Drosophila melanogaster: one gene and its partner. Changing the gene in region 2 together with the main gene of any one other region gives a genetic interaction. Each region holds a gene or a part of one and is shown on either strand. Other genes may lie near its edges.

Region 1 (8,207 bases), on a different chromosome or scaffold from region 2:
GTCCAGCTTTCAATTAGTTCTGTATAAAATCAGATAGAAGTTCTTTAAATAGTTGTTGTGCTACATTTGTCATTTTGTTTTCCCAACTACCAGCTGCATTTTATTAGTTTCTGTCACATTTCAAGCCGTTTTGAGCCCCATGCAAATCCGTTGGACAAACACTTGGTAAGCTTTTTCAGAGCCCAAAACCAACATTAGACACTGGCTAAATCCCTGCAACTAAAAACGAGAAAAACTATGGAAAAAAAAGTGCACAAAGTGCCAGCAAAACAGATTGCAAAACGATGTCTAGACGTGCAATTTTGGTCCTGACATCGGGGCACCTCCTCTTCATTCGAGGCGAATTTTCCGCTTACACACACACACAAGCACACACGCGCACACACCTACGAGCGCACACGCACACCAGCGCACATTTTGAGGGTGTGCCGGCTGGCTGCTGCTGTCTGATGAAGGAAAACTACCCCCGAAAGGCGGAGGGCATGTGAAGCCCATCGATATTCGAGTATCCGAATTGAATTGAAATCAGCAAAAACTAAATCGGGCTAAAACGGCGGAAAAAAGGAGGCAGCTGAGGCAAGCTAAAATGGTTTTTTGTATCTTTTAAATCCCTGTATAGACAGGTAAGCTTTAGCTGGGCGTGTCAACGCCCTCGGCCCAAACGAAACATGAAAAGAGCGTCAGAAAAAAAACAGCTGTGAGCCGGAGAATGCCCATAGACAGAGCGGAAAAAACAAAAAAAAAAATAAATAATAATAATAATAATAATGTGGAGACCCGGCACTGGGAATCCGATGGATCGAAGTGGAATGTGGGGTCTTTGGCGAAACAGAACGCAAACTATGAGGAAAATAAAAACAACAAGAAAGCAGATATATCCGAAAAATATACATACATAAATATACATATATATATGTGTGTGCAGCACATATTGAATTGAGGCGCACGCTGCTGCTGCTGGCCGTGCTCATATGGCAGTAATTTACATAAAACCCGCAAAACCAGTTTTTTTTTTTATAAAGTTTCGAGTTCCAACTTGGTCGGCAGACGGAAAGAGACGGCAATGCAGCGGCTGAGAGAGACGGACGCTTTAAGCGTGCGTTCTTAAAACATTTGCCTGCACTTTGGCTTATGGGAAGCAATTTGTTAAATTCTCACTGCTCGAGCATTTGAGTGGATTTCCTATGGGTAAACCGATGACATTGAAATAATAATTAATTGACACGCTTAAGTTCACTGAGATTGGGTATCCAATTAGAAAATGTAGGGTTTTCTGACAGGAACAATGTGTCAGTTGGTTTTAAAAAACCGGAATTTCGAGCTTATTTTCTGGTAGTTGTAAAATATTTGAGAAGTTTAATTGCATTTACCAAGTGCTTGGCAAAACAAAAATGTTTAATTAATTAAAATTGTGTGGCTTGCAATTTGTAATTTTTGATGAGTGCTTACAATTTCTTAATAAGACCAATGTTGTCGTTTCTATCTATATTTTAGGTTTGGAGCCTTTCAATATATATAGCCTATCTGAAGATAAGCGCCTCTTTAATATCCAAGAATATAGGAGGTAATGGAAGCTCAAAGAAGCTGGGGTCGGAAAAATCGAATTTTTGAAATTTGAAAGCTGGAATCGTTTGCCCATTTTTTGCCCATGTTTGCCCACCAATTAGTTTTTTTTGCCCACGTCCAGTTTTTGAGATATGAATTTTCGAAAAAGTTCGAAAATTTTCGAAAATCAAAAATTTCGCTTTTTTCAAATTTTTTTTTTTTAAATCGCAATAACATCGTTTGCCCACGTTTGCCCACCCTTTAGAATTTTGAAAAAATTTATACTTTAGAAAATATAAGGCTTTTAAGTTTACCTCGGTCTAATCAGAGAGTAAATCGTTTGCCCATCTCTTAAAACCAAATATTATCAACAAAAAACGTTTGCCCAACCATTATTATTAGTTTTTATCGTTTGCCCACCCTTTAAAAAACCTTTAACAAAAATTTTTTTTCGATTGCCCACACTTGAAATACAACTAATTTCGTTAGCCCACCTCTTCAAAATAAAACTTTTCAATAAAAAACGTTTTCCCACCATTTAAAAATAAATAATTTCGATTGCCCACCTTTTAAAACTAAATAATTTCGTTTGCCCATCCTTTAAAATTCATTTTTAACGTTTGCCCACCCTTTAAAATTTGTTTTTTTCGTTTGCCCACCTCTTAAAAATGGTTTTTTCGATTTTTCACCTATTAAAACTAAATTTGTACATATGTACATATGTAATAATTGTAAGATGTGGCGCCAAAAGCACAGTTACTTACAAAAGAACAGTTATTTACATATTTACATACATTTTCAATATATCCATAGTGTTAATCATTCATGAATTGTAACATCAATTTTTCTTAATCATTGTTTCATTTCATGGAAAATATTTTATTCCAGAATTTTCTTGAGCTTGGAGAGTGTTGATAAACATACATACATTTTTTTGCATATATATTATATTGCAATATAAAATATTTTCCATGAAATGAAACAATGATTAAGAAAAATTGATGTTACAATTCATGAATGATTAACACTATGGATATATTGAAAATGTATGTAAATATGTAAATAACTGTTCTTTTGTAAGTAACTGTGCTTTTGGCGCCACATCTTACAATTATTACATATGTACATATGTACAAATTTAGTTTTAATAGGTGAAAAATCGAAAAAACCATTTTTAAGAGGTGGGCAAACGAAAAAAACAAATTTTAAAGGGTGGGCAAACGTTAAAAATGAATTTTAAAGGATGGGCAAACGAAATTATTTAGTTTTAAAAGGTGGGCAATCGAAATTATTTATTTTTAAATGGTGGGAAAACGTTTTTTATTGAAAAGTTTTATTTTGAAGAGGTGGGCTAACGAAATTAGTTGTATTTCAAGTGTGGGCAATCGAAAAAAAATTTTTGTTAAAGGTTTTTTAAAGGGTGGGCAAACGATAAAAACTAATAATAATGGTTGGGCAAACGTTTTTTGTTGATAATATTTGGTTTTAAGAGATGGGCAAACGATTTACTCTCTGATTAGACCGAGGTAAACTTAAAAGCCTTATATTTTCTAAAGTATAAATTTTTTCAAAATTCTAAAGGGTGGGCAAACGTGGGCAAACGATGTTATTGCGATTTAAAAAAAAAAAATTTGAAAAAAGCGAAATTTTTGATTTTCGAAAATTTTCGAACTTTTTCGAAAATTCATATCTCAAAAACTGGACGTGGGCAAAAAAAACTAATTGGTGGGCAAACATGGGCAAAAAATGGGCAAACGATTCCAGCTTTCAAATTTCAAAAATTCGATTTTTCCGACCCCAGCTTCTTTGAGCTGGTAATGGACACCTTAATGATTCTGATCAAGCTAAACTACGAATTTGTTTTGATTTTTAGCTATAGGTATACATTCATACTCCTCAAACAAGCAGAACTATGTATTTGTTGCTTATAGGAACCCCCTGTTTTATCAATGAAATACGACTTCTTATCTGAAGATATAGCCCCTCTAAATCCAGGAAAAACTCACCCATAGCTCGGTGCCCCAACTCATGTTGTTGGAGTTTTGCGCTGAGTTTTCCGATTCGGCCAGTTTGTTGTTGCTGCTGCTTCTGCTCGATCCGCTTGCCACTGTATTTGTTGTTGCCGTCGTTGTTGTTGTTGTTTTAATAATAATAATCCACAGAAGATAATGTAATCCACAGACGATGAGGAGAGAGGGAGAAAGGTAGAAAGCGAGGGAGAAGAGCAAAAGATGAGAACTTTTATTCGTTTTTGTTTTATATTTTCCCGCAAAGGTTAATTAATTTTATGGCTGCTTTTTCGTTTTCATTTTCCGTTTGTTTTTCTATATTTTTTTCAGCGTTGCGCGGCGCGATGTTTAATTTTCTATGAAAGAGAGCAATTCGAGTCAGATATATTTCATTTTTGTTTTTTTTTTTTTCGGTGGTTGGGCAGGTAAGAAAGCATGTAAAAACAAAAAAGAGTGGCAATGCAGACGTGTCAGTTGCAGCGGCAGGTAGAAAAATGAAGTTGAAGGAAATTATAGATAATGAGAATTTAAACACTTTTTTTGGGAGTTGTTTAGTGATAAGTGCAAAATAAGAAAATTCTATGCACTGGCATTTCGATGCGCAAAGAGAGTGAGGAGAGAGAGGGAGCGATAGAGATAGAGAGCGATGCAACTGCATTTCATAATTGAGAAAAGCAGAAAGAGAGGACAATTGGAATTCTACTATTGTTGTATTTACATAATTTCGCACACACACGCACACAAGTAAACGCAATTGCCGAATGCACGCACTCTGCTTCTAGATCTGCCACCGTTTTTTTTTTTGTTATTTGTGCTAACTTTTTTTTTAGCATTTGCTTTGCAGTTGCAACTTCTTTCGATTTTGGGTTTTATTTAGCGCCTGCACTTTCGCATGCGTCATAATTCGGGCGACATTTGCACACACACACAAGCACACAGTTAAAACACCCGCACTCACACAACGCAAGCATTTGTTTCTCCTTTTTGGCGTGCGAAAAAACAATTTTATCCGCTCGCAACTTTCCGCTCGTTTTTTCACTTCGGCATCAATACACAGTGTGACCGCAATGTGTTTGAATAGGCACACCTCTGCGTTTGCAGTGTGACCAGAGACCGATGGCGACCTAATTTCTAACTCTTTAACATCTAGCGGGGATATGAACCCATATTGAGAGCAACTGTAAAGTTTAATTATTATTATATAAAATATATGAAACTTTCGTTAATACGTGCCCCCATTTTTTTTTATAATTTAACGTTAATTGTAGACTTTTTAAATATATTATTGTGGCCTTGAAAACTAATAATTTTATGGAATAACATAACGTTGAAACAGATGAAGAAAGCTATTATTGAGCTTGGAAGAAACTTCTTATTATTGTTTATTGCTTTTAAAGTAACAAGAGCATCGCTTATTGTTGTATATAATATATTAATTTGAACATTAAATTCACTGGAGCAATAGATTTTGGCACACTGTAAGGTGTAAGCATGTGCGCCAGGCGCTAGATCATTTTTAGTACTTTCCTTGCATCAGCTGTTAACACTATCAGCTGGTGGGTCAACAATTACATTAGATTTACTAACTTTTTAATGAATTAAAACTTGAGAGAAACAACGTTAATATAAGAAATTAAATTCCTTACCAGCTCATACAATTCACCGGTCACAATGCCTTCTTACGAACTAGCACTGGTGCTCCGCCAATTGCCTCGCGTGAGTAGCACATGAAATCCACCGGCAGTTACATAAAAGTAAATAAGAATTGTACACCGCCCGCAGCCCGAACTGATTTCCGTGATTAGGCGAACGGCCGAGTCCATCCTGGACAAGGGCGGCATTATCCGGAAGCTGGAGAACCTGGGATCCCGCGCCCTGCCCCACAAAGTCAGCGAACACGGGGTGGTTCACCGGGAAGGCACCCACTTCACCATCGCCTTTGATACGGCGCCCACTAAGATCGCAGACTTGAAGGAGGAGTTTGGCCGCGACATCGACATCATACGGCGCTACATCTTCAAGGTGGAGGAGCCCGAGCAGAAGCCCTGCACGCTGCACGAGGAGATGCTGCCACCCGCGTATCGCAAGGATGTGCAGGAGATCATTGCGGCCGCCCAGAAGAAGCAAAAGAAGAAGTTCAACTACAACTCCGGCCTGGACTACTATCCCTTCCAAAAATAAAACACCAAATAAAACGCGTTAATTATGTATGCTAAAACCGGTTGTGGGTTCCTCGATCTTTGGCTAATTCAAACTGAAGCATTCCTTATGAAATGCGCCTGTTATCTTAGTACTTTTCACAATGTTTGTCTTTGTTTGGTTTATGGCGCCCAATCGGACGCTTATCAATTAATTGATAAAGCTCCGTATAATCGACCATCAATAGAACGTAAATTGTCCAGGTAGTGCCTCAAGAATCGTCGAGCAGTTCACTAGTACTTCCTCCTGACCGCAAACGACCTAGAAATGTCACCGCAAATCCGTCCACTTACGCCAGAGCTGCAAAAAGTTGCCAAGGAGCAGCTCAAGGAGGATCCCGAACGTCTCGAAGCCGATCTGCAGGCGTTTAAGACATGGATCGAGCAGCAGCCGCATCTAAATCCCCGAATGGATGATCAGTTTCTGGTGGCTTTCTTGCGCGGCTGCAAGTACAGTTTGGAGCGGGCCAAGTCCAAGTTAGATAAGTACTACACGCTGAAGACCAAGTATCCGGACTATTTCCGAGTTACCAACACCACGGATAGCAAGTTCCGGGAGATTCATCAAACGGGGTAAGGATTTTGACGCCAGCTAACTAATTTAATTTATCAATGCAATTCTGTCAATTCAGTGCCATCATCTACCTGCCCACTCCGCTGAATGAAAATGGACCTCGCATCGGGATCTGGCGCATGGGATTGGTGCCAGTGGAGAAGTACACAATGCTGGAGTGCATGCAAGTGGCCCAGGCAATGCAGGAGATTGCCATTTTGGAGGACGACTACGCCAATGTCAATGGAGTAGTTTTCATTATGGACATGAAGGGTGCCACCGCCGCACACTTGTTCCAGATGACGCCGTCGATGGCCAAGAAATTCACTGTCTTCTCGGAGGAGGCACTTCCACTGCGTCTGAAGGCACAGCATTTCATCAACACCATCACCGGATTCGAGCAGCTGTTCAACATGTTCAAGCCAATGATGTCCAAGAAAATGCAGTCTCGCCTATTTGTGCACGGCAACAAAATGGGGCTCTTGACGGAGCAGATTCCACTGAAATATCTGCCCGAGGAATACGGCGGCGAGAATGGCACCACGCAGGACATCGTGGCCGCCATGGAGAAGAAGTTGGACGAGTACGCCGATTTCTTCCAGGAAAATGTGAACTTCGGCACCGACGAGAGCCTGCGTCCCGGAAAACCAATCGATTTTGAGGGGCTTTTCGGAGTAGAAGGTTCCTTTAGAAAGCTCAACGTGGACTAGTTTCAGTTTGTAACTTTAAAGATTTTATTTTCTTATCAGCCAGTTGAAAAAGTTGTCCAATTTAGTGGCTAGAAAACACATTCGCATCAGTTGAATTGTAAAATCCAATAGTAGGAATGATAATATAGGAATACATGAATATGCTACGATACTTCGCAGCAGTTTTAGGTTTCTCCTATATAAACATTGTCCTTTTAGCTTTTATTATCATCTGTAGAAGCAGATCTTTCGCTGCCATTTAGTTGGTGCGGATTTGAATATCTTTCTTCGGTCCAAAGACTCTTCCAGGTACTTTTGTATCTGAAGATCCACATCAGATCGCCACTTAAGTTCCAGGAAAAGAGGGAATATCTCTCCGGCTTTTTTCAGGCGTCTCTCTGCTTTCTGATAGCATTTCCAGGGCTGTGGTTCCACCACCAGGAGCTCTGCCAGATTGGAGAGCTTTTGCAGAAAGAATCGCAGGCCTTGATCATGGTGATTCAAGTGAATCCACATGGTAATGGAGTAGCAGCAAATGGCATCAAATTTCTCGAGATTATTCACCTCCATATAGGTTTTAACGGATTCAAAGGCTTCATCATCGAGGACATCCACGCAGGCGTAGCTCACATCTTTCGGGGATTCATTCTCCTCGCTGGCACGTTGAATCAGCCGAGGGTCTATATCCACACCTAGAACTTTCACAGATCTATGAAGACGTTCCTCCAGATATTTATGCATGAGTTGAGTGAGTACGCCGCAATTGCAGCCCACATCCAGGATGAAATAGGGTTTATCCTTTTGGGTTTCTCCATCCTCCAACGCAGGAAGCCATATGTCCGCGTCTGGTAAGAGTTTCACGCGTTCTGCGGCGGAACTGAACTGATAGTAGTTGAAGAAGTTGCCATATTGAACCGCGCCGGGATCGTTGTTTCTAATATCCATATTTTATAAGATTCGTGTTTTTATTTGTTTTGATTTCACAGAAACATGCTGCTAGAGATGGTCGTTGAGACGATATATCATATTTAAATGCACAACAAAGTTAACATGCCATCTCTAGCAGCGCTGTTAAGTGAGTTAACATCTACAATTTTCACAAGGCCAGTGTTAAAAGGTGCAGTTTAAGAAAACCGCCAAATTCAAACTGCATCTCCAAATAAAACTCACATGCATTTTCATCATTTTTGCGTTTATTTACTGCGTTCTTTGT
Region 2 (8,118 bases):
AAGATACAGATACAGATACAGATACCGATACAGATACACTTGTCGCTGTCTTGTAGATACGCTTGGTGCTCTTAACGAGGCCAGATCCCCTAGGCCGAAACCAAAGTCTGAGCACGTTTTTGTTACCAATTTCGATGTGTGTTTCTCTTCTGTTTTGCTGCGTTTTTTCTATATATACATATATATATATTTCTTTTTGTATGTATGTATTTCGTATTTTTTCGTCGCTGAGTTTTCTTTGGCTTCTCGAATCGGTCATAGTCTGAGTTGAAAATCAATTACCGTTAATGTTGGCCCACATATGTGCATTTGTACAATGTGGGTTAGCATTGAACGTGACTTGGCTGATAGCAAATAGACTTTCGGCCCGATCTTCAAACCAAAATCCACTCTATTCAAGGTCAGAGCCCAACCTTTTCAGAGGCTTTAGTTAAAAATGTTTAGCCTCAGTTTTCTCAGCTCTGTGTGGTGCACTATACTCCTCGTTTTGTGTGGAAAAAGCAGCAGTAAAATCTGTACAAATATAATTAAAAATTCAGAGTGGCAAACAAAGGCGAATGGAGAGCGAAAAGTGATGATTATTTTGAACACAGTTTGCGCGCCCGAGTTTATCATCATCTCTGTCATCCATCTTTCTGGCCATATTTCTCAACTTTTTTCTATTAAATCTGTCATATCACCAACTTAGCAGCAGAAAAAAAAAACAGAAAAAAAAACAGAAAAATATGGTAGCAATAATAACAAGTCGGGGGTAATAACTAATGCCACAACGATCCATTTTAAGCGACTTTCACTGTTTAATTGTCGCAAAATTTCCTTTTTTCGCCGGCAATTTCTGCGTTTGGTCAGCGGTAACAATCAAAATATGTATCTACGTATCTTTTCATGTGCACAAGGTACTTCGTAAATTTGTTTAACTCTTGCCAACTAAATCTCACTTACATAAGCCAGCAAAAGCTTAGTTTTTTCTTTTTTTTTTTTTTTGGCTTTTATGGCTGCCGAATAAACATTAAAAGAAATCTTTGCACGGTACTTTGAACTTTCTTTCGTTTAATTCTAGCTAATTATACTTCACAGATAGTTGGTAATTTTATATTGCTTCGTTAAAGATGCGTGTACAAATATTTTCGTGTGATTGAATAATCATTCAAGCGATAATTTAAGGGAGTTTTCCTGGTTTTCGGTTACAATATATCTTCAGTATTTTGGCATTAGGCGAAATGTACATTTTTTGCCATAAAATTATTCGTTTTTTGGCCACAACTTTAAAAACAATTGTCTGAATATGGAATGTCATACCTCGTTGAGCTCGTAATTAAATTTCCAATCAAACTGTGTTCAAAAATGGAAATTACATTTTTGTGTCATTTTTTGCAAATTTTGATGATGTTACCCCTTACAAAAAAAGGCAAAAATTGATTCAAAAATTATTTTACCGAAATCAGTCAAAAAGTGATAGGAATCGTTGGCGGTGGTAAAAAGCTAATTAAAAAACTTATTCTTTTATCTATATGAGCATTTTTAGTCAAGTTGTGATAAAACTTCCTTTAGTAAATAGCGAAATTTTGGAAAAAGTAGTTTTGATGATTTTTCGATTTCGATTTAATTTCCAATTGATTGCCATTCAAAATTGTCAAATTTTTTTGACCACTTTTTCCAACATTTTATATTAAATGCGTTTTTTTTTGTGGTTTTACTATTTACCGGCCTATGCATATGTAAAATGTTGGTTGGAAAAATTGGCCCGAAGGCATAAAAGGCACAGAAAGTACAACAAAAATTTGCAATTGCCGGCAAAAATCGAATCATTGCACTGTAATCCGCTTTGGTATTAGCCAGAAATCGTATTTACAGCACACTTATTCATAATTTGGCTAGCCAGTTTTCGGCTGGCAATCCCACGAAAATCAACGAGGGAAGCCAATCTGCAAATCTTCAATTGAAATCTAATCTGCTGCTGGGGAAATGGAGGGTTTTGCTCATAAAAAAACAAAGACCCGATTGTTCCGCAGCAAATTGGGCAGGCATTAAATTGCATATGATCACGGAGAGCTAAGTAACTTTTCCTCCTTTGAAAATTTCTTTTCTTTTTCTTCCGCAAACCTCATTTGAATGAGGTTTGTGCTCCCCCTTTACTTTTCTCCATGTGTTTTTATTTTTTTTGCGAAACGAGTCTTTGGGGTAATTAAAAGTTCATTGTCGTCGACGGCCTTCCCAACTTGTTGTGGAAATTATTTTGCAATGTCTGCCCAAAAGCGCAGCTTCCATGAATAAAAAAGAAGGAAAAATAAAAGCGAGCCTCCACACGACTTCCCCATCGTTTAGGTCTTTTTTTCTTTGGATCTTTTGCAGAGGCGAGAGATTTTCCCACATGAAAAACGATGACAAAATGTGCAGGAGGCACACATCGTCATCGTCATTTAGCCGGTGAGTGAAAGTTGCTGATGACCAACATGGACATGTGGATGTGGATGTGGATGTGAATATGGTTGTGGTTGTGTATATCGATATGGTTGTGAATCCATGGCCAATGCCTTCACGACAATCTGCCGTAATTGAACTTGAAGCTGCCACCAGGAAGCAGACTTCAGCCGCCAGACTTTGGATGTGCAGGTGCAGCATCCCAAGTCCCAAATCCCAATCCCAATCCCAGTCCGAATCTCAATCTTAGCCAGAAGAAGATGATAATCGTTGGCGCGACGTCAGTCACGACATTTGCGCAATCGACTTGGGCCAGGCCAACTGGTTTTTCTCTTATTTTACTGGATTTTGATTGGTTTTATGATATTTTTTATTTTCATTTTTTTGCTGCCAGACGAGGGAGCGCCTTAGGTGGTGGGTGTCCGCAGACCTTATCACAAAAAAAAAAACTGCCAAAAAAGCTGGCGCATTTTAATGGATCATAATGCGATTACAGTTACGCAGATACGACGATAACGCATTCACATTCATAAACAACAAAAATACAGCGAAGCGAAACAAAGGCTTCTAAAAAAAAAGAATGCGATTCTACGCGAAATTGCTGTGGTGCAAAAGTTCACCATGCCTAAATGTACCAAGTTTTTATATGATTATTTTTTACTACAATACAACCACTATCTTCTTATCAACAAGTTATGGATTTAGATAACTCTTTTCGCTGAGTGCAATCCTAACTGTTTGTTTCACCGGTTTTTTTTTTTTTTTAACTCCAAAAGAAACAAAAGAAAGCTCCGTCGACCTTCAAATCATGCAATTGCTGTAGAAAAAGGGCGCTCGAGGTGTGGAAATGATGTTTGATCTAGATAGCATGTAGAAATTAAGTTGGGAAATTTCTCGGTAAATGTAGGTGTGTGTGTTTTTCTCTTTGACACAAGTAGAGATAAAAAAAATGCAAAGCAATTGCGGCTTAATTCGAAAGTCAGCAAACATATAGAGAAACTAAATCGAAAAAAAAGTATCTTAAGTAGTGAATTCATATCTCTAAATACAAAGTATTGATAATTTACTACTTTACTTAACCACAATTTTGCATATCTTGCAATACCACTTGCCGCAGTAGTTTTTTTTGTTTTTTTTTTTTACCATCTTGGCCAGATATTTCGCAGATAAATCGTTCGAGATAAACGGGTTGCACAGCACTTCGAATAAGTCGATCTATAAATTTCATCCCATGCCTATCAACATTGCCGTTTGACCCGCTTAACCTGCGTGTTTTGCATCGCACTAATTTATTCAAAAACTGTTCGACTTTCGTTCGCCAAAGCGAACGACGCACTCCTATTAAAAAAAAATAAAAAATTAAAATTTAAAAAAACCAACCAATTTGATTAGGTTATTTCGAGTGACCTCGACACCGTTATTCCGCTGATAAAGCCAAGGTAATTCGCTGCATGCGAAGCTTCGGAAGCTGTCAAAATTCTCAGTTCCAAGTCAATTGCCAGTCGGCACAAATGCAAATGCACTCGAAAAAAAACACCCCTAATAATAATGTTTTTTATATCGAAAATGATATTATAATTGCTTGTCTATAAATGTGGAAAGTTCTATATTTTCTGTTCATTAAACTTATAAAGTTATAGTAAGTTAAAACGAATATTTGTAACTTTCTTAAAGTTCAAAAGCAGTTTAAGGTAATAAGCCATCAAAGAACTAGTGAATGTATCTCAAATACTAAACATCAAAATGATTGAAGAAATCGTCAAAATTCCCCTAATTATCAACTTTGATTGCCAGTGCAATTCCACCAATCGATGGATCGGCACTTGGCGAGCTGCGAAATTTAAAAAAATCGGGTCAGGCCGAGAGATGCATGGTGCCAATTGGCCAATCGGTTTACAGATGGCCACACAGGTTAATTAACGATTTGGACCAATTAAGAAGATGTCGAGAGGGGGCGTTGGGCAATGGACAAATGAGGATAGGGAGAGAAATTGTGTTGGATAATTGTGCAATTTGGATTAGTTTTGAGTGCAGGATAGAGTGCGAGTATCACTGTGGATACGTGTGCAGTAGTTAGTCGGTAATTAGTGCCAAATCTCAAGCCAAACCGAACTGAACTCGATCGCAACTCACCCATGAATTATCGCGGAATTGTGACATATTTTGGCCAGCGGCGGGGGTTAGGATGCGGGTAGGATATTATGATGCGGTATTGTGAACTATATGTGTTTTTTTTATTTTTTTCAATTTAAATTTTATAATTGAAGTTTAAAGCATTTACTACTGGTCAGCCCGGCTGATTGTTTGCTTTCAGTTTCAGCTCGTCGCTTTTCCTTCGCGTATTTCGTTTGTGTAACTTTTATTTTACTTTTGTTTTTTTTTTTTTTTTGATTCGCGAATTTCACAGTTTTTGTTTAATTTATCTAACCAATTTGTTAGCACACACACACAACGACACTACGATACACTCACACACACGACGAGTCAGCTGAGCGTAACGCATGTGTTCGAGATACTTTTGTATCTTGTATCTGCGTTTTTTTTTCTTTTTTTTTTGGCTGCTTTCTGAGGCGTAACTGCCAGCACGATTACGTGCGACAATTGTAGCACTCGCCAGCAAAAGGCAGAGATGCACTACTCAAAAACGAAGCACTCCAGTTCAAGGCGAGCAAAGCGTTCGCAGGTAGAAAGAAAAAACAATAAAAAAAAATGTAATAAAAATATAAATAATAGTACACAGGTCGCCGAAGTTTTGGTGGAAAAACCGCGCTGGAAAAGCCGCATGCGCTCTCGTCGCTCTTCTACGAAACGGCGAACTAAACGAGTCGAGTCTGCGCCGCCAACTGAATCTGGCTTTTAGCTTTTGACTCCGACTCCGCGATCCACGCTACAACAAATCCCAATCCCAATGGCAATCGCAATCGCAAACGCCGCTCGCCGCTCTCCGTGAGCGGTGGCAATTGCAATCGCCGGTCGCTGGCGCTTTCTAAACGCTCTCCGCTCAACGCTGAACGCTCTTTGTGGAGCGGCACAGTGGGTACAGTGGGCTGATTTACTGACTTATGTGGCTAAAAAAAAAAACAACAAACCTGCAGGGAAATCTTCCACTCGGTGAATAGAATATGATAAAGAAAAATATGAAATGAAAATGCATAAAGAACATATATTCAACTGATTGAAGTCAGCTGACATTCAGACAATTTTAGATAAAAAGATTTAATTTTTAAAAATTTATTTATTGTTAAAAAAAAGTTGCAGCCAATTGGACAAGCTTTGTGTACGTTTTAAAGCTCGTTTAAGCTTGGCTTACGATGACTTCAAAGTTATGGAATGCAGATGCATAAATTTGCATCTTTCGAACTTACCCTTATGACTTATTTCGATTTCCGTCTAAATGCTGTGATTACAATATTCTAATAACTTATTTAGTTACCTTACAAGCCGTGACTCATCTGAATTTGACTTTACTTGTAGGTGAGAAAGCCCAAAACTATGCCATAAAAGAAAAACGCAATGTTGTTGAGTTTGAAATACCAAAAAAAATTTTTATTTTCCCTTAGGAGAGAGTCAGAAAATTCATATTATAAGCAATTTTGTGGATGATTTCGATCGTTTGTCCAAATATTGTTGGGATTCGCTAGCGTAAAGTGTTATTGATATTTTTTTTTTTTTTACAATTCTTTGAAAGTTGCACTTGGATTTTAAACAGAAACTCGTAGCTGAGCGTTTGGGGTTCGTTTTTTGCGGTTCCGAAAATTACAATTTTGTTTGAGAGCTTAACAGGATAGACTATGGCTTAAAGGATCGATGCGAATGAGTCTATATAACTATTGTACATCTATTTAATATTCGTGGGTGTGTGTGTGTATCTGTGGTTTTCGGGTTTCTAAGTATATAACATACGAATGCTGCATAGCCAATCCAGATGCTAAACGTTCTCGACTTTCCCACACAATTGCCACAAGCGAATACAGTTTTTTTTTTTCGTCGGTATTTCTCATCCGATGTAGCTCGAAAAATTAATATTAAATTTGTAATTATTATCCCAGAAATTGGAGATTCTCTTATTTAATTCTGTTTTTTTTTTTTTGATTTTCCGTTAGGTTTGCTAAATGCTATTTCAATTTCTCTTTTCGTTTGTCTTAAGTAAAATTGAATCAAATTCCTCAGTGCTTGCAGTGCATATCGTACTTAGTAATTCATGTTGTCTATGCTTAGTGACTAATTCAAAAAAAGTAGATATATATATATATATATATATATATATTAAATAGGCATATACATACAGTGATGGGGATGGTTATCAATAGTGTGCTTTTTCTTACATCTATAAATATAGTTTATAGGATCTGTGAGTGTTTGTAATTCGGTATATGTATGTACACTTTACAGTTAAGCAGTTTAGAACTCTTCGATAGAAATACTTTCAGACTTGCGTAAGTTAATAATTAAATGTATGTATGTATATATATATGTATGTATATATAGTGTATATCCAGGTGGAAGGGAGAATCCAAAGTCGTTGTCTGTTCAAAGTTTCGATTTGGGCGAGGATTGAATTAAAACGCGGGGTTTTGCGGGAGTCGATAGAAAATTGCACAGAATTTGTGTATTTACAGGGTTGTCGGTGTAAATAAATAGATTACTTTTACACATTTATGCCGCTTTATTACTTTATCAATATATGTATATATATATGTGTATATAGTATGCTTACTATCGTACAGTTAGGCATTGTTTTTAGGTATATCGTTCCTCCATCCATTTCTGTATCTTGACCTTTACAATTTTGGTTTGCCTTACTTGCTAGGATTTCATAAGACTTGCGTTTCATTTTTCCATATTTTGTTCAAAAGTTGCACTTAAACAATTCGAAAAAAATATATACTATATATGTATGTCTATATATATATATATGTTTTTATATATACTCGCATATATATATAGCATCTATGTTGTTCCTATGTACACATCATGCAGTAAGTGTTTCCATTTAGTGTTATCCTGTTTCTCTGTGTCTATGTGTGTGTGTGGTGTATCCTTGTGTTTTTTAGTGGATATTCTGGATATCCATAGTTTTGGCTTGGACCCGGTTGTTCTCCGAACAGCTGTGACACTTGGCTAGCCATTTTCTGCATTTTAGCCCTCGTCAGTATTAACTTTCTACTAATTCATCATCATCAATTTCTTTCACCATTTAGCATTTAGTCCGTCTAGATCGATAGATAGCACTCTCCTCGGTGACACTTAACTTATTCCGCCTTCCCGCTTAAATCCTTCAACTACAATTTCACTTTGAAGCTTTTTTTTTGTTTCTATATAGCAAATTGCGAAAATTAACCAAATCGTTTTGGTTTTACTTTGAATTTCTTATTGATTATCGGGTTTTCAGAGTTTTGTTTTTTTTTTTATTTCTTTAAGTTTCGGTTCATAGTGAATGGTTTAGGGGGGATAGCAAACGCTTCATCGGCCTTCATGCTCGGCTCATTTGCTATAAAATCTCTAGATTGTCAATTGCTAAATATTCCTTACTCAATTCTGCTCTACTGCATATGGATTTCCAGCTGCGATCGCCATTGGGGCGGGTATTTAAAAGAATATTACAATTTTCAATAAAAAAAAAAAAAATAAAAAGTAAACTTTTTAACATGAATGAAGAAATTAAACAAGATATACAAGCTACAATAAATATGTTCA

What was found.
Region 1: of Nost (region 2) and Cip4, changing one enhances a phenotype caused by changing the other (phenotypic enhancement), as found in Drosophila melanogaster (one study listed by BioGRID).

What each region holds. Positions count from the first base shown.
Region 1 is NT_037436.4:4,359,476-4,367,682, forward strand, and holds the start of Cip4 (Cdc42-interacting protein 4), read right to left. Parts: upstream 4,500-8,207; 5' UTR 4,388-4,499; coding exon 4,273-4,387; intron 3,653-4,272; coding exon 3,552-3,652; intron 1-3,551. Other genes in the region: mRpS6 (mitochondrial ribosomal protein S6), read left to right, coding at 5,226-5,270, 5,337-5,735; CG33514 (uncharacterized protein), read left to right, coding at 6,021-6,325, 6,385-7,015; CG11342 (uncharacterized protein), read right to left, coding at 7,223-7,939.
Region 2 is NC_004354.4:9,027,333-9,035,450, reverse strand, and holds the start of Nost (nostrin), read right to left. Parts: upstream 5,247-8,118; 5' UTR 4,582-5,246; coding exon 4,555-4,581; intron 1-4,554.